Linked DNA regions of Tamandua tetradactyla. The protein of the gene in region 1 purifies or fractionates together with the protein of each later gene. This does not show direct contact. Links are inferred from orthologs where the notes say so. Each region holds a gene or a part of one and is shown in the gene's direction. Other genes may lie near its edges.

What was found.
Region 2: the proteins of RFC4 (region 1) and ATAD5 purify together in Homo sapiens (affinity purification with mass spectrometry; 5 studies listed by BioGRID and IntAct, counting the BioPlex papers as one, with this or other methods). This does not show direct contact. The link is inferred for Tamandua tetradactyla from reciprocal best matches to the Homo sapiens genes RFC4 and ATAD5.
Region 3: the proteins of RFC4 (region 1) and RFC1 fractionate together in Homo sapiens (co-fractionation; 7 studies listed by BioGRID and IntAct, counting the BioPlex papers as one, with this or other methods). This does not show direct contact. The link is inferred for Tamandua tetradactyla from reciprocal best matches to the Homo sapiens genes RFC4 and RFC1.

What each region holds. Positions count from the first base shown.
Region 1 is NC_135336.1:5,794,619-5,803,422, reverse strand, and holds the start of RFC4 (replication factor C subunit 4), read left to right. Parts: upstream 1-5,548; 5' UTR 5,549-5,888; intron 5,889-7,265; 5' UTR 7,266-7,276; coding exon 7,277-7,407; intron 7,408-8,804. UniProt on the Homo sapiens protein: Subunit of the replication factor C (RFC) complex which acts during elongation of primed DNA templates by DNA polymerases delta and epsilon, and is necessary for ATP-dependent loading of proliferating cell nuclear antigen (PCNA) onto primed DNA.
Region 2 is NC_135332.1:50,842,945-50,851,282, forward strand, and holds the start of ATAD5 (ATPase family AAA domain-containing protein 5), read left to right. Parts: upstream 1-4,784; 5' UTR 4,785-5,168; coding exon 5,169-5,234; intron 5,235-7,954; coding exon 7,955-8,338. UniProt on the Homo sapiens protein: Has an important role in DNA replication and in maintaining genome integrity during replication stress.
Region 3 is NC_135345.1:41,121,580-41,129,437, reverse strand, and holds the start of RFC1 (replication factor C subunit 1), read left to right. Parts: upstream 1-4,226; 5' UTR 4,227-4,378; coding exon 4,379-4,381; intron 4,382-7,858. UniProt on the Homo sapiens protein: Subunit of the replication factor C (RFC) complex which acts during elongation of primed DNA templates by DNA polymerases delta and epsilon, and is necessary for ATP-dependent loading of proliferating cell nuclear antigen (PCNA) onto primed DNA.

The sequences.
Region 1 (8,804 bases):
CTCTTGGACTTAGTCCCTGGGTTATCTGTTCCTTAAATTTGTAACCAGTTAGTGATATGACAGAGATTTCCTTGAGTGCCAGGAGATACCAAAAACAAATAAATCAAAGAAGAAGCAACTTCTGAAGTCTTTACAAATTGACTCTGTTTTGGCTGAGGGTCTCCTTCAGAGCTTAGCCATCCTATCAGGAAGATTATCAGAGGTGAATGCCAATTGCAGGTCCCCTCTGTCTTATCTGAGCTCGCCTAGAGCATGCTTCTTCTCCTGGGCTTATGCTTGCTGGTAGCCTTAGGAATTCCTCTGTTTACAGGAATGTTATTTCCCCCTCTATTCCCTTTGAAATAGACTTTCACACTTTCTTGGTGTTCTATTGTATGACAGGTAGTTCTTTGAGCCAGGGCACTTCTACTTAATCCTTTCTTACTCTGCTTTAGCTGTCAGCAAGCTGCTTCAGCACAAATTCTGGGAATAAGCCTGAGAAAAGTTTCCTGGTTCAGTCTTTCAGGCTTCCACCAGATAGATTGGCCCTGGCATACATGCACTCCAGTTTGCATTTAGGGGCGCCTCTGCTCCCTGTGAACAGGGCCAAGGACCCGCAACAGGAGTGCAGGCTGGATCCACACAATAGTGAGGAAGGGCTGGTAGATGGGCTAGCAAGGGCATCACAAGCATTGCCTATCATTTTTCAAACTGCTTTCTCTTGTTTCCACACTTTCCCAGTTACTGCAACCCTTTAGGTATTTTCTGAACTTTCAAGGAAGATAGCTTAGCCAGTTTTTGTTAGTTGTTCAAAGATTCTGTGGGGGACAGCACCCTGGAGCATCTTATACCACCATCTCGGTTATCTGAAAGATGGCAAGTTGATTTTTAACAAGATGTCAAGCCCACTCAATGAGGAAAGGATTTGTAAGGACTCAGAGCCTGGGCCCTGCTGCTCCTTTTCCCTCCTATTTTGAAAGCAAGTCACCTAGCCACCTATATGACTGGGGACAGATGTTAAAGATCAAAGAATGTAAAGCACCCCACCTCTAATAACCAAATCTCAGGAGAGTCTACTATAACTATGTGGTAACCAAATCCCACGAGACTGTTAAAACTTTATAAGCCTTTTCCTGGGCCCACCTCTCACCCTTTCTCTTCCTCTCTTGGATATGGGCAGAGTACAGACTTACATCTCCCAACCAGCCACCACTGGGGAAGATCTTCCTCCTGTCCATAGGGTCCTAATTAAACCTCATGGGTAATCTTCTGTCTGGCATGTTCTTTAGTCTCAGGTTGTGCAGGGCTGAAACAATCCTATCTTCAGCAAATGGTGCCTTGAAAACTGGTTATACATATGCAAAAGTAGGAAAGTTGATCTTGGCCTCTACCATACACAAAACTTAACTCAAAACGGATTAAAGGCCTAAATCTAAGTACCAAAATGATAAAACTCCTAGAAGAAAACAAGGAAACATTTTCAGGACCTTCTGTTAGGTAATGATTTCTTAGACTTTACACCAAAAGCACAAACAACAAAGAAAAAATAGATAAATAGGGCTTTATCAAAATTTAAAACTTGATTCGATCAGTGAGTGGAAAAGTATTTGCAAAGTCCCCTTCAGATAATGGTGAGAATGGGGGAAAATTCAACCCCCCCTAGTTGAATTCTTGATATTCTCACAAGCAGTGTGGACATCCAAAGCTATAGGCTGAGACCCCAGTCTTGGGGTTTGTTCATATGAAACTTAACCCCACAAAAGATAGGTCAAGTCTACTTAAAATTTAGGCCTAAGAGTCACCCCCAAGAGAGCCTCTTTTGTTGCTCAGATGTGGCCTCTCTCTCCAGTCAACACAACAAGAAATCACACCACCCTCCCCCTGTCTACGTGGGACATGACTCCCAGGGGTGTGGACCTTCCTGGCAACGTGGGACAGAAATCCTAGAATGAGCTGAGACTCGGCATCAAGGGATTAAGAAAAACCCTAGAATGAGCTGAGACTTAGCATCGAGGGATTGAGAAAACCTTCTCGACCAAAAGAGGGAAGAGTGAAATGAGACAAAGTGTCAATGGCTGAGAAATTCCAAACAGATTCGAGAGGTTATCCTGGAGGTTATTCTTATGTATTAAGTAGAAATCACCTTGTTGTTCAAGATGTAGTAGAGCGGCTGGAGGGAACTGCCTGAAAATGTAGAGCTGTGTTCCAGTAGCCATGTTTCTTGAGGATGACTGTATAATGATATAGCTTTCACAATGTGACTGTGTGATTGTGAAAACCTTGTGTCTGATGCTCCTTTTATCTACCTTGTCAACAAAGGAGTAGAACATATGGAATAAAAATAAATAATAGGGGGAACAAATGCTAAAATAAATTTAGTTTGAAATGCTAGTGATCAATGAAAGTGAGGGGTAAGGGGCATGGTAGGTATAATCTTTTTCTTTTCTGTTTTCGTTTTATTTCTTTTTCTGAATTAATGCAAATGTTCTAAGAAATGATGAATATGCTACTAAGTGATGATATTGTGAATTACTGATTATATATGTTAATGTTTTATTTGGTTTGTTAATTTTTTTAATAAATAAATTTTAAAAATTTAAAACTTCTGTGCATCAAAGAACTTCATCATGAAACTAAACAGACAATCTACAAAATGGGAGAATATATTTGGAAACCATGTATTTCATAAGGTTTTAATATCCAGAATATATAAAGAAATCCTACAACTCAACAACAAAAAGATAACTCAACTAAAATGTGAACAAAAGACTTGAATAGACATTTCTTCAATGGCCAATATGCACATGAAAAGATGCTCAATATCATTAGCCATTATGAAAATGCTCATCAAAACCACAAATGAGATGCCATTTCACACACACTAGAATGGCTACTTTTAAAATAAACAATATAAAAAGTGTTGGGAGGGATATGGAGAAATATAAATACTCATTCATTATTGTCGGGAATGTAAAATTATGTTGCTGCTATGGAAGACAGTTTGGAAGTTCCTTAGAAAGTTAAGTATAAAATTACCATTTGAAAAAAAAATTACCATATAACCCACCAATCCCACTTCTAGGTATATACCCAAAAGCATTGAAAGCATGGACTCGAACAGATATTTGCATACCAATGTTCATAGCATCATTATCCATAATTGCTAAAAGATGGACGCAATCCACATGACCATCAACAAACGAATGGATAAACAAAATGTGGTATATATAATCAAATGGAACATTATTCAGCTGTAAAAGGGATTGAAGTTCTGATACATGTGATAACATGGATGAACTCTGAAGGCATTATATTGAGTAAAATAAGCCAGGAACAAGAGGACAAGTATTGTAGGATCTCACTGATATGAAATAATTAGAATAAGCAATATAGGTTCAGAAACTAGAATATAGGTTATTAGGTAAGGGATGGTGGTGATTATAGCACAATATAGTGTGAACGTAAGGAATAGCACTGAATCATATATTTGAATTTGGTTAAAGGGGGAAATTTAGTTTATATATATGTTACTAGAATAAAAAATTAAAAAAACAAACAAACAACATAGGGCTATACAAAACAAAAAGTGAATCCCAATGTAAACTAAGGACTGTTGTTAACAGCTTAATTATAATGATATTGGCTCATCAATTTTAACTAAAGTACCACACTAATGCAAAGAATAATAATATGGAAAAGTGTTTGGGACAATGTAGGGGAGCATATGGGTACACTGTATTTTCTGCTAAACTACAACTTCTCTAATAAAAAATTAAATTAAAATTAAAAATTTCATATATCTCCATTTAATAACAATAATTGACTGAATATTCCTTAAAAAACTAAAGTTATTATTAGTTATCTGGTTTATTACATAAGTACCCATGCACAATACACAAAAATTGTACTTATGTTGTCATTTCCTGTTCTGGTGACAGAGACAATGCTTGTGTGCAAATTAATGAACTATCCGGGTCAGGATGCTGCCTGCAGTTGTGTACCAGAAAGATTGGCTGATGGGGCCAGCAGAGGCTGAAGCCCAGCCAAACCTCTTATCACCAAGTCTTTCACCGCCTCAAGTGGCTGAATATGCCTGGAAGGAGGCACTTTTTTTAACTGGTTGGCCAAACAGGCTACCAATCAGGTCTCTTTTTTCTACTTAGCATGAAGGCAGTTCTGTGCCAGTGCTGGCCCTACCAAGTTATTTATTGGCAAGCTCTGACTCTGGAATTAGGCAATCCTGGATGTGAATGCTGGCTTTACTAAGCCAGAATTAGCAAATTTGCTTGGCCTTTCATAAATTAAACTTATCCATTTTAGCCTCAGTTTTCTTGTATGTAAAGTGGGATTATAATATCTAACCCTGGGACATTGTGGTGCTTTTCTAAGTAGTAATATGATACCATCTATCTTCCTAGATCTTTGTTCTATTAACTTCACTGAGGTATAAATTAATACAAGAAAATGTACAAACGTTAAGTGTGTAGAGTAAGGAGCTTTTTGACCAGTGCCTAGATAGGTAACCTGCCTGCTTTTTATAGTGTCTAGAGATTGTGCACAGGCCCCGTGGAAGTTACAAAGTAGCATTATGCATCCTTAGCTAATTCTGTTAATCCCTTGATTAGGTTAGTTCTAGGATGTATTTTCAAGCGCCTCATTACTTCCTCAAGCATAACACACATTACATTGTCTGTCATCTTTCTAGACTGTAAAACGAATATCTTCCAACTTGTTTCCTAGCATAGCGTTTATTGCAAGATAAATGAACACACAGATAAAGTTAATAAAAAGTCTCATGTTGGGTATGAGCCAAACAAAACTTAAAATTATTTCCTTTGTAGAAGACCTGGGTCAGCCTTAAGGGTTAGGGCAATCGGTAAAGGCCTGAGAAGGTAGCAATTAAGAAGGGTCAGATTTCAATAGGATTTAGGGACAATTCAGAGCTAAGTCAAGTTGTGGGGAAGATAAAAAGGGTGGCCTCAGACACCTGCGCAGGGGCCACAGTGCATGTATTTGGTAGGGTTAAACGTTATCATCAGTCACTTAATTTTATGGAGTGTCTGCACCACCAGATTCTGAGCCGGCCTCTGGTTTAGAAGATAATCCTTCTAATTGAATGACAGGGTCCTGCCTCTCAGCAACGGGCAAACACTAACAGAGGTATAAATCCTGTGCCCTCAAAAAGGCCAGGAAAGGCATCTCCTTCGGACGTTTCGGGGCTTGCCCTTAAAATTACACACGGTTTGCTCTGCGACGAAGCCGGAGGGAGAGGACAGGACACGGCAGGAGGCCCTCTTCTGGCAAAAGATCGACTCCACCCTCCCCAACCTCGTCCTGCAGGGTGAAGGAGATGCAAACCCCGTCGCGTCACCGAAAATGTGCCAATGAAACAGACAGACAGCTCACGGTGAGTTACAGGAACTCCAAGCTTGCGCCTAAAAAGAAAGACCTCTTGGACCGGCCGCAGATTCCGGAGCCCCGCGCGCCCTTCGCTTTCCCGCCCTTGGAGTTGAATTGCGGCGGATCTCTCCCCGCCCACATTCACTGCGCATGCCCGGCTAGTAGTACCCGGCCGTTTCCTCGCGCGGCCTTTAGTCTCTCACGGACAGTTGTGCTGAAGTCATCCTACCCCGGAGTCTCGAGTAGGAGGAGTCCGCCCGGACAGGGTGAACGTTTATTTACCGTTTTCTAATCATGTTTTGCCCCAGTCTGTGTGTCCATAAAAGCTGACATATCTCCTCATATGCTTAAATAAAACTATGTATGAGTAACCTGATCCCGTGAGAAGGAAACCTCGGCCGTGCGCCTCGGAAAGGAAGTGACGCACTACGTGCCCACGTCTGCCCGCCCAGCTCTTCGCCTGCCGTTTGGTGGCGGGAACTGAGGCGCCTGCGGTGACCGCTGCAACTGTAAGTTTCACTCGGTCTGGTGTCCTGGGGCCTCGGGGGCCTGTTATTCTCAGATTGGGGGACGGAGTTAAAACTTCGCGACCGCTTCGCAGCCTCCATGTCTCGGGAACGCCGGGAAGGAGGCAGCGGCATCCTCTCACTGAGGACGTGTGGCTGACGGGCCCAGGCTGTACCGGGTAGCGCAGGTTAACAGGTGACCCGGCCAGAGAAATTGAGAGGGCGGCCCGTCGCCTTCCTGTACTCCTACGCCCGCGATGCCCCTGGAATGTCTTTCATCTCCGTTGTGGCGCGTGCAGGGGCTGAACCAGTCTAGCTCAACCACTTTCTCAAACCCCGAACGTATCCCATCGTGGAACGCTCGTTCAGTATTAATATCTTTGAGAGCCCAGCATTGGGTTTGTTACACTTTAGGCGCTTGTGGCAGGAATGGAGTAACACATAATAACGTTAAAAACTTGACTCTTTACAGATATTAATATATTTTATTGATTATATACCATATGCCAAGCACAGAATCATGTATTTGCACACATATGTTTTATTTAACTCAGTTGCCTTTGAAATAGGCCTTAGCTCCTTTTACAGAAAGGGGGCTTGAGTCTCTTATATGGTAATTCATACACCAAATAAATATTATAGAACGTCTGTCATGCACCAGCCACGTTTCTAGGTACTGAAGGATACAGCAAGGAATAATACAGAATTGCCAGTAATACTGTAAATTATCTGTCAAGATCCTGCTCCTTTTTTAATTGAAAAAACTCATGCTCTTCTGCATATTTTGGTTTTTTAAAATGAACATTTTATTTAAAAAAACACAGAGCTTTTCCCATTTTAACAACAGAATCCCTCATTTTCCCTTTCCTGGCAAAAAAAAAAGAGCCTTAAGGTAGTCATTACCTCTGCCAGTAAAACACATCTGAGCCCAAGAAAAGGAGTGAAGGTTCTCATCGGTGGTTCTAGGACTCCTAATTACTGAACCCATCTCAGGGTCTGAATTGAAGCCAGGCCCATAACTGAAATGGAAGTTACTGTATAGACCCTGTACAGTTTGGCCACTAGTGATACTGTATTTATCAAAGGATTTGGAACACTTAAAAAAAATGGTGTTCAGTTTTCTGTTCTAAGATGTATCTTTTTTCTGTAACTCCCTTACTATAAAGATATTGTAAGTTCTGTCAGGACTTTGGCTTCTTTTGTCTCTATAACCAGTGCTATATAAACTGTACATCCAGAGAGCCCTAGGTCTTGGGGTGATGTCCTTCATTTAGTAAGTAATTATTGGATGCCTTTGCACAAGGTTAAATGTGCTTTCAGACTGTACTTCCTCATGATGGTTTCAAATAGCTTCTACTTTTCTGTCTTGGATCTGTCAAGGTGGAGTAACCATGCAGGCATTTCTAAAAGGTGCATCCATCAGTACTAAACCAACACTGAGCAAGGATCGAGGAGTACCTGCCACTGCAGGAAGCAGTGGAGAAAACAAGAAAGCCAAACCTGTTCCGTGGGTGGAAAAATAGTAAGAACATTTGTGGGTTTTTTTAATAACTCATTTTACTTAAGACAGGAATGTTTTGCTTTTCTTAGATGTTGTCCTTGAAATTCTTCCAAATATGTAAGTCATAGAACCTTTGAACTGAAAGATACCTTAGAATGATCCAGTTTAATTCCCTTATTTTAATTATGAACTAAGGTTTCTCTACATTAAGTACAGTTTTAGAGCCTGGTAAACTACAATGAAAAGACAGTATCTATAAAGCTTCCTAAAGCTCTTGGTCAGGTAAATCCAAATAATCTATTCCCCTTTCCATTACTAATAGATGATACTTGTTGGGGTTTTGTTTATGTTTTTGACAAAAACAGCACTTGATGTGACACCTAAATTATCGGTCAACTAGGTGATATTATAAAAAAGGTAATTGTAACCTCTGAGTTTGGCCTCATATTTACCAAGGGTTTTCAGATGGGCCTCTGTATTTACCAAGGGTTTTCAGATGGCATATAGGCTAAATAGGGCCCTCACTGGTCTTGTTTGGCTCCAATAGTGCTTCAAAAAAAAGGCCAGGACCTTTCACATAAAAATCTGGATTATCAGTTTCTCAGGAGGTTAGGCTACACTGGGTACAAGGTCTCATATAATAGAAATTGGATTGACCTAAGAGGTGCTTTTAATCTTGGAAAAGAGGTGTTCATCAATTTGCCATAGACCCCATTATTTTCTTTAGTCTTACACTCTGCTGCCTTCATTCTTATTATCTGCCAGACCCCTTCAGGCATTTGTATATGAACCCTGGTTTATACAATACTCTGGTTTCCTTATAAAATATCTCACGTTTCTGCCTGGCATTGACCTGATTTATTGGAAAAGTATAGATCTAAGAAGAGCTTTTGGTGGGATAACTGAGTACAGGTCCTCATTTTAGGATTGGGGGTGTACATGTTTGTTCTTGTTTCTCTTAAAATCATTAATTAGTGATGTGAGATGAAAACGATATGATAAATTTTATCATGCTTCATATTGGTAAAACTTGTAATTTTGTGGGCCCTCAATGAAGTGAATAGGTTTCCTTTTTTTTTGTACAGTTATGTGGTGGAAGAAATTGATATTAAGAACTTTATAGTTAGCTATCCTGGGTTTACAAAAAGTGCCCCTTTTTCAGCTTGGGTTTATGGTCTTATCAAAATATATTACTATCTAGGCAAGAATTTAACTTGTTTACCCAATTGGCTTTTGCTTAATTTTTATAAGCATAACATATGGGAACAAAGCAGATGAGAATTGAAAAATTATTTATGTACCATAAATACAAATGGGATTTCCACCAACTTCCAATTACAGTTTTTCTTTCTATTACTTGAGAATTGTCATTGATGTTGTAGCAGAAGCAACACTTGAGACTCTTCTGTAGCTATTGT
Region 2 (8,338 bases), on another chromosome or scaffold:
GAAGCACATACATTCTTTTTTTTTCACATACATTCTTAACATACAAACATTACATACATGGTATACAATCAATAGCTCACAATAACATCACATAGTTGTATACTCATCACCATGATCATTTTTTAGGACATTTGCATCAACTCCAGAAAAAGAAATAAAAAGAAAAAAGAAAAAACTCATACATACCATACCCCTAACCCCTCCCTCTCATTGGCCACCTATCCAATATATATATTTTTTAATTTTAACATTTGTTCCCTCTAATATTTATATATTTTTAATCCACATGTTTTACACATCTGTCCATACCGTAGATAAAAGAAGCATCAGACACAAGGTATTCACAATCACACAGTCACATTGCAAAAGCTATTATCATTATACTATCATCTTAAAGAAACATGGCTACTGGAACACAGCTCTACAGCTTCAGGCACTTCCCCCTAGCCTAATACACTTTAATCTAAAAAGGGGATATCTATATAATGTGTAAGAATAACCTCCAGGATAACCTCTCGACTCTGAAATCTTTCAGCCACTGACACTTTATTTTATCTCATTTCTCTCTTCCTCTTTTCGGTCAAGAGGACTTTCTCAACCCCTTGATGTTGAGTCCCAGATCATTCTAGGATTTCTGTCCCTCATTGCCAGGGAGGTTTACACCCCTGGGAATCATGTCCCACGTAGAGAGTGGGAGGGCGGTGAGTTTACTTGCCGTGTTGTCTGAGAGAGAGATAGGCCACGTCTGAGCCACAAAAGAGGTTCTTTGGGGGTAAGTCTTGGGCCTAATTTGAAGCATAGCCTGACTACCTTCTAAAATTGCAATCTTTCCCCTGGCATTCATTTCCTTATCCCACTTCCTGCTCTATTTTCTCCTCAGCATTTACCCTTACCTATCCTACCATATATTTTACTTATTTATCAATTTTATTATATGTCCCTTCAATCAGAATGTAAACTGCAAGAGGTTAGGGATTTTTATCTGTTTTGTTCATGCTGCTTCCCGGTGTCTAAACAGTGCCTGGCATATAGTAGGAACTCCACGCTATTTATGGAATGATGGACTACCACAGATGGTGACACTGAGGTATGGGATTGAAAAAGGAGGGTATTAGTTAAAATCAGAGTGACATCTTCCAGTTCCAGAGTTCTATAACATGCAGTTAGGTGACCTCTTCAAATAGCCCCTACCCAACTGCAAGATATACAACTCTTCCACAGTTCTTGAAACTGGAGGATAAACTGAATGGTCCCAGAGAAAGATCACCTCATATTGACAGTTGGGAGGCCCCTGTGAAGAGGCAGCAGACTCCCCAGACCCACAACCCCCAGGACCAGAAAACTATTGGATTAATGCCTGGCAAAGCAGGGGGCCTCTGGACCCTCCTCTAGCCCTAAGTGCCAGAATCTGTTGATTCTTTGGTATTTTGACCTACCTTTCATTGATTATTTTGACTCTCCTCTTGGGCAGCAGGTAATAGATATATAGAAACAAAATAAAATAGAAAAAAAAAGAGGAGGTACTTATCAATTCCAGGAAAAGAAAAAAACTTGGAGGCGAAAGTAAATCACTTGGATCAGTTGTAAACAATATTTACATCATCACAAAATGCAAAATTGATGATTGAGTTAGTAAAAAATTGCCATATAAATATAATAGAAGGGGGGAAGGAGAGAAAGTGTGAAGGGTGTGGTATAAGAGAATTTAATTCTCAGTCACCACAACAGGAAATTAATGAATATGTTTAATGTAGTTAAATCAAGAAATAGCTGTACAAACATATTATATATTAAAAAATAAGTTATTTATATTGTGAAGTGTTGAAATTGGTTGTCTATGGGAAAGAGACCCAGGTTGTGAAATAGCTATATTTTTATGTTTTTTAAAATGTTCTTTGATGTTTTTAACAAAGTGTAGGCATTACTTTGTTAAAAATGAAAAATAATTAAAGTAGGGTTTATGAAAAAAATAGGAAAGATACTCTAAATGACACGAACAAACTGTAAACTCTAAGTTGCTATACAAACATGGAACCCATTTAATTTAAAATTGATAAATACCATGAGTTCCTAAATGAGGGTTGTGTAAAATACTAATTACATATCTAGAAACAAACTCAGTGCATATGATAACAACTCAAGGCAGTACAAATGCATAACATTCAAGAAGGATAAAAAGCCTATAGACATAACCTATAACTTACTTTGAGATGTTTATCCTAGGGAGACATTACACGTGTGTTTAGGGGACCTAGACAAAAATATTCATTCACTCACTGCTTGAGTAACAGAAAATTAGAGACAACCCAAATGTCCATCTCTAAGGAAATACATAATTAAAACGTGGTGCATAGTTGGATAGAAAACTCAGGAATGAAAGGGAATAGATGAGATTTGTTCTAGTTTGCTAGCTGCCAGAATACAATATACCAGAAACGGAATGGCTTTTAAAAAGGGGTATTTAATAAGTTGCTTGTTTAAGTTCTAAGGCCGAGAAAATGTACCAATTAAAACAACTCTATAGAAGTGTCCAATCTAAGGCATCCAGGAAAAGATACCTTGGTTCAAGAAGGCCGATGAAGTTCAGGGTTTCTCTCTCAAGTGGAAGGGCACATGGTGAGCACAGTCAGGGCTTCTCTCTAGGCTGGAAGGGCACATGGTGAACATGGCATCATCTGCTAGCTTTCTCTCCTGGCTTCGGGTTTCTTTTTCATTTATTTATTTATTTATTCATTTATTTATTAATTAAAAAAATTAACTAACAACATTTAGAAATCATTCCATTCTACATATGCAATCAGTAATTCTTAATATCATCACATAGATGTATGATCATCATTTCTTAGTACATTTGCATCGATTTAGAAAAAGAAATAGCAAGACAACAGAAAAAGAAATAAAATGATAATATAGAGAAAAAATAAAAATAAAAAATACAAAAAATATATATAAAAAAACAAACAAAAAAAAACTATAGCTCAGATGCAGCTTCATTCAGTATTTTAACATAATTACATTACAATTAGGTAGTATTGTGCTGTACATTTTTGCATTTTTGTATCTAGTCCTGTTGCACAGTCTGTATCCCTTGAAGCTCCCCGGGAGGCGTTGTCCTTCTTCATCTCCAAAGGTCGCTGGCTTGTGGACTCTGCTTTGTGGTGCTGCAGCATTCTCTGCTCTCTCTGAATCTCCATTCTCCAAAATGTTTCCTCTTTTATAGGACTCCAGCAAACCAATCAAGACCTACCCAAATGGGTGGAGACATGTTGTCACCTAATCCAGTTTAACAAACACTCTTGACTAAATCACATCATCCAGGGAGATGATCTGATTACAGATTCAAACATACAGTACCAAATAGGGATTATTCTACCTTTATGAAATGGGATTTTGATTAAAATATGGCTTTTCTAGGGGGCATACTTCCGTTCAAACCAGCACAAGGTCTACATGAATCATGAACAGCTCTTGAAAACAATGTTGAGTAAAAAAAACAAGCAAATGAGTGATATCTACAGTGACACCATTTATTTATAATTTTTTTGTACATAAAAACAAAAGTAAAGATTTCCTATGGATACATATGTGTATGGAAAGCTATGAAAAAGATTGCAGCAGTACACACCAAATAAATAATAGTGGCCACCTCTGGGAGAAAGGGAGAAGATCAAGTTCAGGGGTAAAAGTCAAAGGAAATTTTTAGGTTTTTTTCCTGTAATTTTCTCATTTATTTTTCTTGTTCTTTTTTGGGACAATGTTCATATACTCCCTGAGTTATAAAACATATATAACAAGGGAACAGAACAGTACATTAAACATTAAACATTATTTTTAAAACATTAACATTAAGCAAAACATTAAAGAAACAGAACAGAGCATTAAAGCAGTAGTGTTTCTCCTCCTGAAAAATCTTATTCAGAGCTAATTTTCAAAGAAAACGTAATTACCATTAATTTCATTAGGGAAACATTTGTATGTGCTCTTACCACACAAATTACCTCCCACTTCTGATAAGACAGCAACAAAGACCCTAAAAGATGGTCACAAATACTTCAGTAGTTAAAAACACTTTGCATAACACTGGAACAGGTGGCTTCCCATCATTACTTGATTATGTCCTTTCTCTCTGTCGGCTCCTACACACTTGATTCAGTTTTTACATACCCGTCAGTTAAAAACTTATGCTTTCCAACAAACATTCATTATGTTTATGTAATTGCAACTTTCACGTAAAAGAAAAAAAGACTAAACAAATCCATAAAAACAATGGAAATGAAAACAAGGTTATCATTACTACTAACAGCAAAACACTGGTATCCTGCTTGGACTCCTACACTGCTCAGAGGACGAAATCCACAGGGAAAACAAGTCTTCTTAGCCAAATTCGGGGTATAAACGTAAAGCCAAAATCTCGGACCCCAAATGGGCTTATCTCGAGGTATGACTCACGCCAAATAATTAACATATACTGGGTGATAGGAATATAGTAATTGTTACTTCTTTAACAAAATTTCCACTTTAAAAAAGGATCCGGCCTGGAGCGTCAAGAGTCTAGGGTTTTAGTTTTATCGCCGACTAGGTGATCCAAGTCAAATCAAGTCCTTACATGTGAAATTGGACTTTAAGTCACGAGAAATTCGAATCTTTAAAATTCCGGTTGACATTAAATTCCTCGGTACTAAGATCCTGCTTCGGGCCAGTTCGCCAAGAGAAGCATTTTGGCTCCTTTGGCTCACCGTCCGTTCAGATCTCGGGAAGCAACACTAAGCTCCGCCCCCCGCGCGCCGGACGGCGCGAAAACCCAATTGACTAGAACTCCTGCTAAACCTTTCAGGACTGATCTGCGTTCGGTCAGCTTTCCCCGCCCGGACCCTTCTAGCCTTGAAGACTCACCCTAGAGCGCCCGCCTAGGAGGCACTCGGCGCTCACTGGCCGCGCCCCAGGGGTCTCGCCGTCCGCGCCTTTTCTTCCCCTCTTCCCGCGTTCGACTCGGCCAAGCTCGGCCCGGGCTCCGCGCGCTCTTCGGCGGGTGGGCGCAGGGAAATCCGAGACGGACCGGGAGACCCAGCTCGGCTCTCCTCCTGGAGCAGGCCGCCCCCATGGCCTCCAGGCAGGCCAGTCCGGTTCGCGAATGCTCCTAGGAACCGGGATACTGGGAAGCAGGGAGCATGGTAGGGGTCCTTGCCATGGCGGCGGCGGCTGCTCCCCCTCCAGTGAAGGACTACGAGATTGAGGTGCGGTCGAGTGTCTGTCGAGTTCCTTTCTCCGGCTGTTGGGGTTGGGTGGGTGGAAGGTGATCCCGACTTTGCAACTCTGAGGCGGAAGGGAAGGACATGGTGAGACCCCCAAGTTATGATCTTGTGCCTAGACTGTGTCTCTTTTTAGAGTTGTCTTGACAAACATTGCGGTTGTGCGATGTTTGGGGGGTCACGGTAAATCTGGATTTAGAATGATGATTCGGCCAGTTACCAGAGCCTGACATGTTCGTGGAACATGATGTTTTGGACTTGTGACATGTCATGGGGTAGCCGAGAGACAGGTTCTGGTTTCATGATATAGAGCCATAGGACTTTAGCGATGAAAAGGATTTTAAAGTTCACCTAGCCTATCCTTCTGTCTATTTTAGGAATGCCACTTAGTGTCAGTACTGGAATTAAACAAGGTGCTTAATAAAAAAATCAGTTTCTCCTGGCCCTAGTTCTTATGCTACAATTAGAAATTCAGTGTGGCATACTGACATTTCATGATTTTGTCAAGTTTTAGTGAAGTGCACTAAGCATTCATTATAAAGAGAGTCTAGTGCCGCTTAAGTAGTGGGCTAGCATCTTAAGGTAAACAGTTGCTATATTTTTACGTCTTTTCATCTCAGGTTAGCATTCTAACTGAAATATGTGTCCTGGTGTCCTCTAAGTGAGCCGAGATGTATGCACTTTTTTTTAGGCTTTTTTTTTTTTTTTTTTTTTTTTTGCATGGGTAGTAACCGGGAATCGAGCCCCGGTCTCCGGCTTGGCTGGCAAGAACTGCCTGCTGAGCCACGGTGGCCCGCCCTAAAATGTATACACTTTTAACCGCGACCATTTCTTTTTTCTCGGAGTTGGGTGCCCTTTTTCCCCCTCTTTTTGTTTTTATTTAATTATTATTATTTTTTGGAGTTGAGTGACTTTTGTATGCTTGAAAATAGTTATGCTGATACTAGCTACTAATTAGCTAAATCAAGGCAGTTCTCAGCTGGTCTCAGGTTTTGTGATGGTCTTTTGGTAGTTGAATTACACAGTTTTTGATTTGTGTGTGGTCAGTTTTATCAATCTTTTCCTTATGTTTTCTGCTTTTGGTAGCCTGCTTAGAGAGCTTGTATAATTATAATGACACTTACTTTTGTATGGTAAGGGTAAGGGCTTTATAAATATTATTGCTTAATATTGCTTAATATCAACCCTGTGATGGAGTCCACAAAGGAGAAGAAGGTTAAAAAGTTTAATTTGGTACAGTGTTAATAATGGTGGATCTGGGTATCTTGAAGGGTGGGGGTATGTTGGAGTTCTCTTATTGGTTTTGTATTATTTTTGCACCTGTCCTATAAGTTTGAAATTATTTCAAAATAAAGAAGTTTAAGGGAAGGAAAGGAAAAACTCTTTAAAAACAGCAGGTTTAATTTGATTAAGGTCACACCCAGTAGATGTCAGAGCTGACAGCTGGTAGATCTGACCCCACAGGCTGTAGTATAGTGCCTCTAATATTGTCTCAGGATTGTATCTATACTCATCAGTATTTTCTTCTAGTGTATTTATGATTTCATTGTAACAAATACGGTTTTAGTTTGTCTGATCTTATTTTGTTTCAGGTTAGAAATTTGTCCCAATACTATTAACTGTGTCTTTTTCCACTAACTTGATTGCTATTAGTATCATATATTAAGGTCTTAAATATTTACTTTATTTTATATATAGCAAATATATTATACGGTTTCTGAGTTTTTTAACCCATTCCATTAAAATATCTGCCTGTATCAGCACTACACTTTTAATCTTGATAGCTGTATAATACAATTAAGTTTCCAGAAGTATAATTCTCCTATTCATTACCTCTTAAGAATTTCCTTGTTATTTTGATAAGTTTATTCTAACAAACAGAGAAGAGAGAATTAAAGAAAAAACCAATGGAACTTTTTGTACCCAATAAGTTGATATCTATTTTCTATCATAATAAAATTTGTTTATAATATATAGAAATATATATATAGATTACTAACTTATGATCAACAAAAAAGATAGTCATGTCTAACATTATAGTAATCTTTATGCTGTGAGTGTAATCACTAATGTAGAAGGAAGATAGTGGTTGTTTTAATAGCAAATTAAAATAACAGACTTGTAGTAAGTGTTCTTCTGGTGATGTTACTATATTTTCTGTTTGATTAGTAAATATTGTGGGATCCTGGGCTTGTTCATCATGTTCTTGTTTTTTTTTTTTTTTTTTAAGTACAGCCAGGATAATGTGTTTAACTAAAACTTACCTAGATAAAAGTTAAAAAGGGATGGAACAAACATTTGTATTGTCCCTATCATGTGTCAGACTTGACATATTTTATCTAATACATTCATTTTAAGTTCTGTAAAATTGGTGATGCTATTCATGGTTCATAGAGTAAACAGAAGCTGTGAGAGATTGATACATTTACTCATAAATACAGTGACCTTGGAATTTTTTTTTTTAGTGTGAACATTTTATATAATGAAAAATACACTTATAAATTATAAGCGTACAACTCATTGGGCACTGGAATTTAAATATAGGTTTAACTTCAAATCTCGTGTTCCTTACCATTTATCAAGTTTGTCACTAAAGAGCCTTCATTTCTTTATTCAATTACTTAAAATATTAGGTCGATGTTTAAAGTTTGTATTTTGTATTACTTGCTTGAAATACGTGTCTTTTTCTTCTTTTATGTCTATAGCCATGTAAAAAGCGAAGGAAAGATGAGGACAGATCTTCCTGCAAAACAATTATAAAATATTTATCACCCATAGGGAAGACTGGAGATAGGGTCTTCTCTCCACCAAAATCCAACAATATTCTGGATTATTTTAGAAAGACCTCACCAACACATGAGAAGACAGAATCGGTGAAACAGTGTAAGATAAAGTCATCTGAACTGATGCCTGCTGACAGTGGCAAAGATTGCAAAACACCTTTGAAAATGTTCTCAAATGTAGAGTTTAAGAAGAGAGGAAAGAGAGTTAATTTATCTCATCAACTAAATAATATGAAACTTGAAAATGAATCTCCAGTTGAAATTAATAATAATAATAAAGAAGATTCAAGGCTAAGCAATGATTTT
Region 3 (7,858 bases), on another chromosome or scaffold:
AATTCCACAAATTTAGGCTTTTACTTCTAGTGGTGTTACTAATGTTTTATGTCATCAATAAATGACTTTCTGTGCCTCTCTGAAAAACTGTTTAAAAATCATCAGCCTGTTTGTTGTTTTCTTTGCATATCCTTAATTTCCTGGAGATGGATTATTGCAGTCTTTCATATCATGCTAAAGCATGGAAGTAGTTATGACATATCATCATTTTATTTTTATTGTCAAATAAAGGCCATGTAGAGAGGGAAGTTGCACAGAGGCTAGTCTTAGGTCTTTTTCCTGGAGCAAATTCAAACTAAACAGTAATGTTTAAAAGCCAAATGCAGAGTTATATAGAAACAAACTTAATAGACAAGTTTAAAAAATCATATTTTATAATTGTTTTGGTTTGCTAAAGCTGTCAGAATGCAATATACCAGAAATGATTGGCTTTTTACAAAGCAGATTTATTAGGTTACAAATTTACAGTTCTAAGGCCATGAAAATGTCAAAATTAAGGCATCAACAAGAGGATACCTTCACTCCAGAAAGGCCAACTGCATCTGGGTTCTCTGTCATAGGGGAAGGCACATAGCTACATCTGCTGGACCTCTCTCACAGCTTCTGGTTTCAAAAAGCTCTCTCAGCTCCTGTGGATCTTTCTGGTTTTCCCTGGGGCAGCCTCCTTTTGCATCTTCAAACATCTGTGTCTAGGAATCTGCTCTTTATGTCAACTCTGAGCTCTCTCTCTGTTTTCTGCCTTTTATTCTCTTCATATAGGGCTCCAGTAAGATAATTAAGACCCATTTTGGATGGGCAGGTTCATATCTCCATGGATACAACCTAATCAAATAGGTCTGTGCCACAAAATTGGACTAAAAGAATTTGGCTTTTCTGGGGTATGTAACAGATTCAAACCAGCACTGTAATGTTTCAGTAGTCCCAAAGACTTTGGAGCCATGAAAAAAAAGTCATATTTTCCCATAAAACACAAAGTAATCATTTCTTAATACAAAGTATAGAATGATCTATTTATAAAATAAAATTAGAATATTTTATAGAATAAAATTAAAACTCCTTTCCAGAAGTAGAGACATGAATGAAACTGATCTGGATAGGACTAAGATAAATCAAAATACAGGGTAAAGGATGATATGGTCTATATTTTAAACTAAACTTCTGTATGAGACCAAAAGAAGGATGTTTATTTGTGTAAAATTTATATTTGGGGTAGTGCATTGCCTAGTTTAACTTTGTATGGTCAGTTTATTTAAACAGTATAAGGACATGGAATTTTGAATAAGGAGTGAGATCTTGTTGGTTTGTCCAAGTTAGTGTGATGTCCTGATATATCCCAGAGTAATTTGGGGAGAGAATAAAAAGGTATTTGCAAAGTCCCCTCGGGAGACTAGGGAGAAAGAGGAAAATATTAAACTTCTCCATTTGGAAAATTCCTGTATTCTCACAAGCAGTAGGGACAACCAAGTCAACAGGCTGAGCCCTTGATCTTGGGGTTCACCCCATGAAACTTATTCCTGCAAAGGAGAACCTAAGCCTACTTATAATTATGCCTAAGAGTCACCCCCAGAGAACCTCATTCGTTGGTCAGATGTTGCTTCTCTCTCTACACCAATGTGGCAGGTGAACTCACTGTCCTTCCCCAATGCACTAGGTGAGACATGACTCCCAGGGATGTAAATCTCCCTGACAACACGGGACTTGACACCAGGGGATGAGCTGGGACCCGGCATCCTGGGATTGAGAAAGCCTTCTTGACCAACAGGGGGAAGAGAGAAATGAGACAAAATAAAGTTTCAGTGGCTGAGAAATTTCAAACAGAGTCAAGAGGTTATCCTGGAGATTATTCTTATGCACTATATAGATATCCCTTTTTAGTTTATGGTGTATTGGAGTGGCTAGAGGGAAGTAACTGAACCTGTTGTACTGTATTCCAGTAGCCTTGATTCTTGAAGACTATTGTGTAATGACATAACTTTTATAATAGGACTGTGTGATTGTGAAAACTTGTGTCTGATGCTCCTTTTATCCAGGATATGGACAGATGAGTAAAAAAACATGGATAAAAAATAAATAATAGGGGGAATATGGGGCTAAAATAATTGGGTAGATTGAAATATTAGTGGTCACTGATAGGGAGGAGTAAGGGGTATGGATTGTATGAGTTTTTTCTTTTTTCTTTTTATTTCTTTTTCTAGAGTGATGCAAATGTTCTAAAAATGATTATGGTGATGAACACACAACTAAGTGATGATATTGCGAGCCACTGATTGTACACCATGTATGGAATGGATGTGTGTGAAGATTTGTCAGTAAAAATATTCTTAGAAAAGCTGATCAGTAAATATATTCAAATTAAAAAAAAAGTTTCTGCTATACAGTATAGAATTAGTATTAGAGGAAATGACTGCCTCCACAGATTGAATCAGGAATAGAGTATAGCTTTTCTGGGGTACATAATATTTTAAAACTGGCACAGAGCCCTAGGTGTTCTTAGGGTTACCGGGAATGATTTGGATTGGATAATTACCAATTGTGGTAAGTATCATTATCTAGCTGGAGCTTTCATAAGAGTAGCTTCCAGAATAGCCTCTAGGACTCTATTTGAACTCTCTCAGTGTTCCCTTCTATTCTACAGGTAGTTTATTACAAATTCCTAGGTCCTTGAGATCTCTTGATCTGTAACATTTTAGTTTTGTTTATTTATCTACTTATTTTTTTCACAGGTCAATAAACACTATGATTTGACTTACGCCTCCTGACATTACAGTCAAAATTTTGTGTGATGTGACTGGTATGTACACTTTTCTGGGGAGCAAGTCATAACTTTTATTGATTTATAAACGTGTGTAACCCTTTCTCCCTCATTAAGCATTTCTCTGAGCAAAATCGTGGGGTAGATAAGTTTATTTTTGGAACAATCTCCGTTGAAAATACCTAGTATTGTGTAATCATAATGATTATAATGGATGGCATTTAAAAAAATGATTACTGATGTGCCAGGAACAGTTCCATAACAACTCTTTAAGGTACTACTACTATTACCCTCATTTTACAGATGAGGAAACCAAGGCACAGTAACTTGTTCATGGTCCCCAAGCGGTGGGTTGGGGACCTTACCATACTGGCTTGAGAGGGGCCCATATAATGAGACTCTGTTCATAAATAACAGTTTACTCATTTGTAGATTGGGAATAATACGAATAGCTAGTGTCACCGTGGGGATTAAATGAGCTAAAGTAGGATAATCCATAGCTGGATGGTTGGTACATATCACCGTGGTCATTAATAAATACAAGCTCTTCATACTTAGCCTCTACCGTATTCCAGTTGGCTTTGTTATCTTTCTCTGCAGAAATTTTAGGGTCATAAAGTGCATTACTGAATAGGGGGTGGGGGTAGGTGGGGGGTAAGGATATGAAACGCCAAGAGGAAGCCTAGGTAGTGCTCTCACCATTAGACTATTTATGGTCTCATGCTTCCTCTTAGAATCGCAGGCAAATATTGCATTCTATTCTACACTTCAGTTACCTATCTAAAAATAGAAAATTCCTTTCCTCCTAAGCTTTGGAGAGCATTGCTCTTCTAGTGAGATGGCCCTTGTTTATGCCTTGTCTTCACAATACCACTATTCTTAATATGCACGGTTGGGGATTAGGAGGCCTAGATTCCGAACGTCAGGCAGCTTTGGAACAAACTGGACCCTTTAATTTGTTTGAACCTTATAGTTCTCATTTATAAAATGGTGTCGGTGTCGGTTGTGGCGACAGATGACTTTTCCAAAGTCCTTTTTGTTCTAGAACTGTACAACTTCAAGATTGCCCTTTAACCCGGTGATTTTCAGACGGGGTGGTCGAGACAAAGATTAAAAGAAAAGATTTGTGTAAATACTGTTTCGGTGAAACTTTTGTTTCAGATTAGGTATTTATATGTAATATATGAAATTTATATCTAATATATATTAATGCCGGTGATGGTAAAAACTAATATAGGGAGTGCAACGTCTATACGTGTAACTGGGAGGGGCGTTGGGCACCTGGTCTTCCGGAGAGTCCAATCTTGCAACCCCAATTTAAGCGCCCCCGCCAAAACCCAAAGACGCAAACGTGAGCGCGGATTACCGTCTGCGGCTAGCTCCCCGCCAGGACAGCGGCCCGCCGTCCTCAGGGGCGGCACCCAGGCCCACGTCGCACCTCCTGCCCCGCTTCGGAGCCGAAGGGAAGCTGCGCGCTTCCTGACGTCATCACTACGCGCCGCGCCTCGGCCTTCTTCTACTCCGCGGGAGAAGTTGTTGGCGCGAATGGATCCTGGGTCCCGGTAACGGGTTGCGCAGACGGCCGGTTCTTCTGCTGCCCGCCCTCGCTTCAGTCTTTGGGCAGCCATGGTGAGCCCCTAGGGGAGGCTGTGCAGCTCGGGGGCTTGGGAGACTTTGCTGTCTGGGTGTGGACGGGGCATGTCTTGCATGGATGGTAGGAAAAGACGGCGATAAGTGGCTCTTCGTAGGGGGAGCGAAGGCAGAGAAGGGGCAAACCTTGGGCATTGGTCGCAGTACTTTTTTTTTTGACGGCGGGCTCTAGGTTTCGGCGGAAACCAGTGCGCAGGTCTTTTGGTGCCGCGCAGGCGTTTCGTTTTTTTCCACCCTTGGGGGAAGGGAGGAAGGAAGGGCATAATGAAGTTGATTTGGGGGCGCGGTGGTGAAGTTTTCCTGTTCAGCCTTGTCCCGAGTTTCAGTCTGAATCTTGCCTAAAGCTTTCATTCCAAGCTTTGGGTCCCGAGGCAGAAGCATGTAAGAAACTTTCCTTTGCTATAAGTTGTGTCAGGGTTTCAACTTTTCATTAACAGCTATGCGAAGCGCTCATCCCTTCCTTAACTGGTTTGAGACCGAGGGTATGGGAAGGATGTTTTATTTTGTTTGGATGCGTTCATAGCAGTCAAAGCGATAACACAGTTTACAGGAAAAAGGTACAGTGGGTAGAAACAGATGTAATACATTTGACAGCTGTCATCTCTTATTATGACGTTAAAAAATCTTAAAAATAATTCTGCATAATTTTGTATAAAGCGTTTAAATAAATTGAGAGTGAAACAATTATGCAGTCAGCAAAACTTGCATTCGTGATGATACAGGTATAACGTTTGAAATATTTTAAATATGAATTATCCTTTAAGATGTTCAAGTAATTCAGAGGATACTTAATACTCAGATGTAATTTTGTCAGTAGTTCTTCACCTTCTCTGTCAGAGTACCAGCCTTCTGGGGAAAAAGTTCTATACAAATTGGAAAACTTTGCAGTTCTTTATTTCTCAAAGAAGATAAAATAATAATGGTAATAGGCCCCCTATACCAAGCGTCTTCTTTATATCGATATGTGAGCTGTTTGTTTTACAAACCTTTCTTCGTTTAAACCTCACAGCAATCCCATTTTACAGATGGTAAAAGAGACTGTCAGAATTTAGACAGTTGTCATAAAACTAGTAAATGATTAGAATTAGAATCTAGTATATTTTCTGACCACTATAGTATATTGCCTCCTGGAAATGATTATTACTAGATTTTGAAGTTCAGGCACGATCAGGCAATGGTACTGTGGAAATTTGATGAGATTTAGGGCCTTGAAGGAGAGAGTCTTTTAGTCTTGTTCTGCTATTTAATAGTTTTGTGGTCTTGCCCAGAAAGTAGCTTAAATTAGATCCCATTTAAGCCTCTGTTTTCTTAACTGTGAAAGAAGGGAAAATAATAGCTGCTCTATTTGATTGTGTTGAAGATTAAACAAGATATGTAAAGCTTCCATTCTGGTGCCTAGCATGTGGTAGACATTACATTATACAACTACACAACTCCCAATCTGTTTTTCTCAGGAAGTACTCTATGGAGAGTCACAGAGTATAAGAGGCATTATAGATGCCTCTGATGTTGTCTGTTAGGGTGAATGACACCTTGTATAGTCAACTTTTGATCATTTAGGTACTTCTAATTTTGGTTCTTTTCTGTTTCTTTAGTGCTCCTGTTTATGGTACAAGTTGAAATGTAAAGTCCTTGTTAGAAAAGAAGTTGGAGTTAAATTGGTTAGTTTGCTGTTTGTTAGAGGGAAAAGGTTCTATACAGTAGGTAAGAACTTTTGATTTTATTGGTATTTAATTTAGTCCTCCTGTCTCTAGTTTAAAAATTAGCAAAATCCTAGACTAAAATTCTGTTCAACCTGTGTACAAATTGTATTAGAGTACAGTGCTTCTTATCCTTTGGGTGACAGTTTCCTTTGATAATGTGGTGAATGACATGCAGCTTTTCTGTCCACAGAAACGCACATAGGCACAGGTACAGCATTTTAGGAGATTCACATATCTTGTGAAGCTCATCAGTACCTGAAAGATTAACACCTCTTGCCCTGTGAGTTGCGTTTTCTCATATATTTTCCAATTAAAAATTATCAATAAAGGAATAAAATACTATATCCCTGCAAAGGAATACTATGCAGCTATTAAAAACGGGAAAACTGTTTATGCCTTGATATGAAATAATTGCCCAGATAAATTAAGTGAAAAAAGTAAGTGCAGAGCAATAAGTATCCTACCATTTTATACAAAAATAGGGGTGAAATATATATTTGCTTGTAGTTGCATTAAATATCTCAGAATGATGTACAAGAAACCGGTAGCATTTGAACTTCCAGAGATGGGAAATATGTGTCAGAGAGGCAGGGTGGAAGGGAAATTTATTACCCTTTTGGATTCTGAACCATCTACTCAGGAAATTTAAATGAAGTTAAAAATAAAGAGAATAAAAAAGAAGCCATATAAACAATCACATGAGACTTTTGGGACAGCTTTTTTGAAGAGTTGTCAAGTCCATCTACATTGTTATCAGCTGCCTCATTGCCCCATTGTGTGATTTTATTGTAACGGAGCTTTTGCTTTCTGATTACTTGCCCTTTCATCATTCAGGTTTCAGTAATTTTCTCTGAGGGGCTTTGCCCTATTCTAGCTAAAGCAAATATTCTTCACAGCCACCTTTTCCACATTTACCTATTTTATTCCCTAGCCCTTGTCAGTACCTGAAAATTATCTTTTTTTTAAAAAAAAGTCTTGTGATATAATTCACATGCCATACAATTCACTGATTAAAGTGTACATTGAGTGTGGTGGTGGCTCAGTGGCAGAATTCTCGCTTGCCATATCGGAGACCTGGGTTCGATTCCCCATGCCAGCCCATGTTAAAAAAAAAAAAAGTGTACATTGGCTTTTAGTACATTCATGGTTCTGCAGCCATCACCACAGTCAATTTTAGAACTTTATGACACCCAAAAGAAACCATGTACCATTAGGAATCACTTCCCATTTCCCCTCACCCTCTTTCTACTCCCAATTCTAGGCAACTGCCAATCTACCTTCTGTTTCTATCTAGGGATTTGTCTATTCTGTACCTGTCATATAAATGGAAAATGAAATCATATGCTATGTTGTCATTTGTGACAGACTTCTTTCACTTAGTACAATGTTTTCTAGGTTCATCTGTGTACATTCACTGGTAGCATGTACCAGTTCTTCATTTCTTTTTATTGTTGAATAATATTGCGTTTTATGTCTTTGCCACATTTTCTTTTTCCATTCATCAGTTGATGGACATTTGGGTTGTTTCTACCTTTTGGCTATACAAATAATGTTGCTGTGAACACTTGTGTGTATAAGTTCTTGTATGGAAATATCTTTTCATATGTCCACACAAGTGGAATGCTGGATCGTATGGTAACTGTTCAACTTTTTGAAGAATTGCTGGATTGTTTTCCAAAGTGGCCAACATCATGTTACATTTGCATCAGCAGTGTATGAGGATTCCATTTTTTCTACACCCTCACTGCCACTT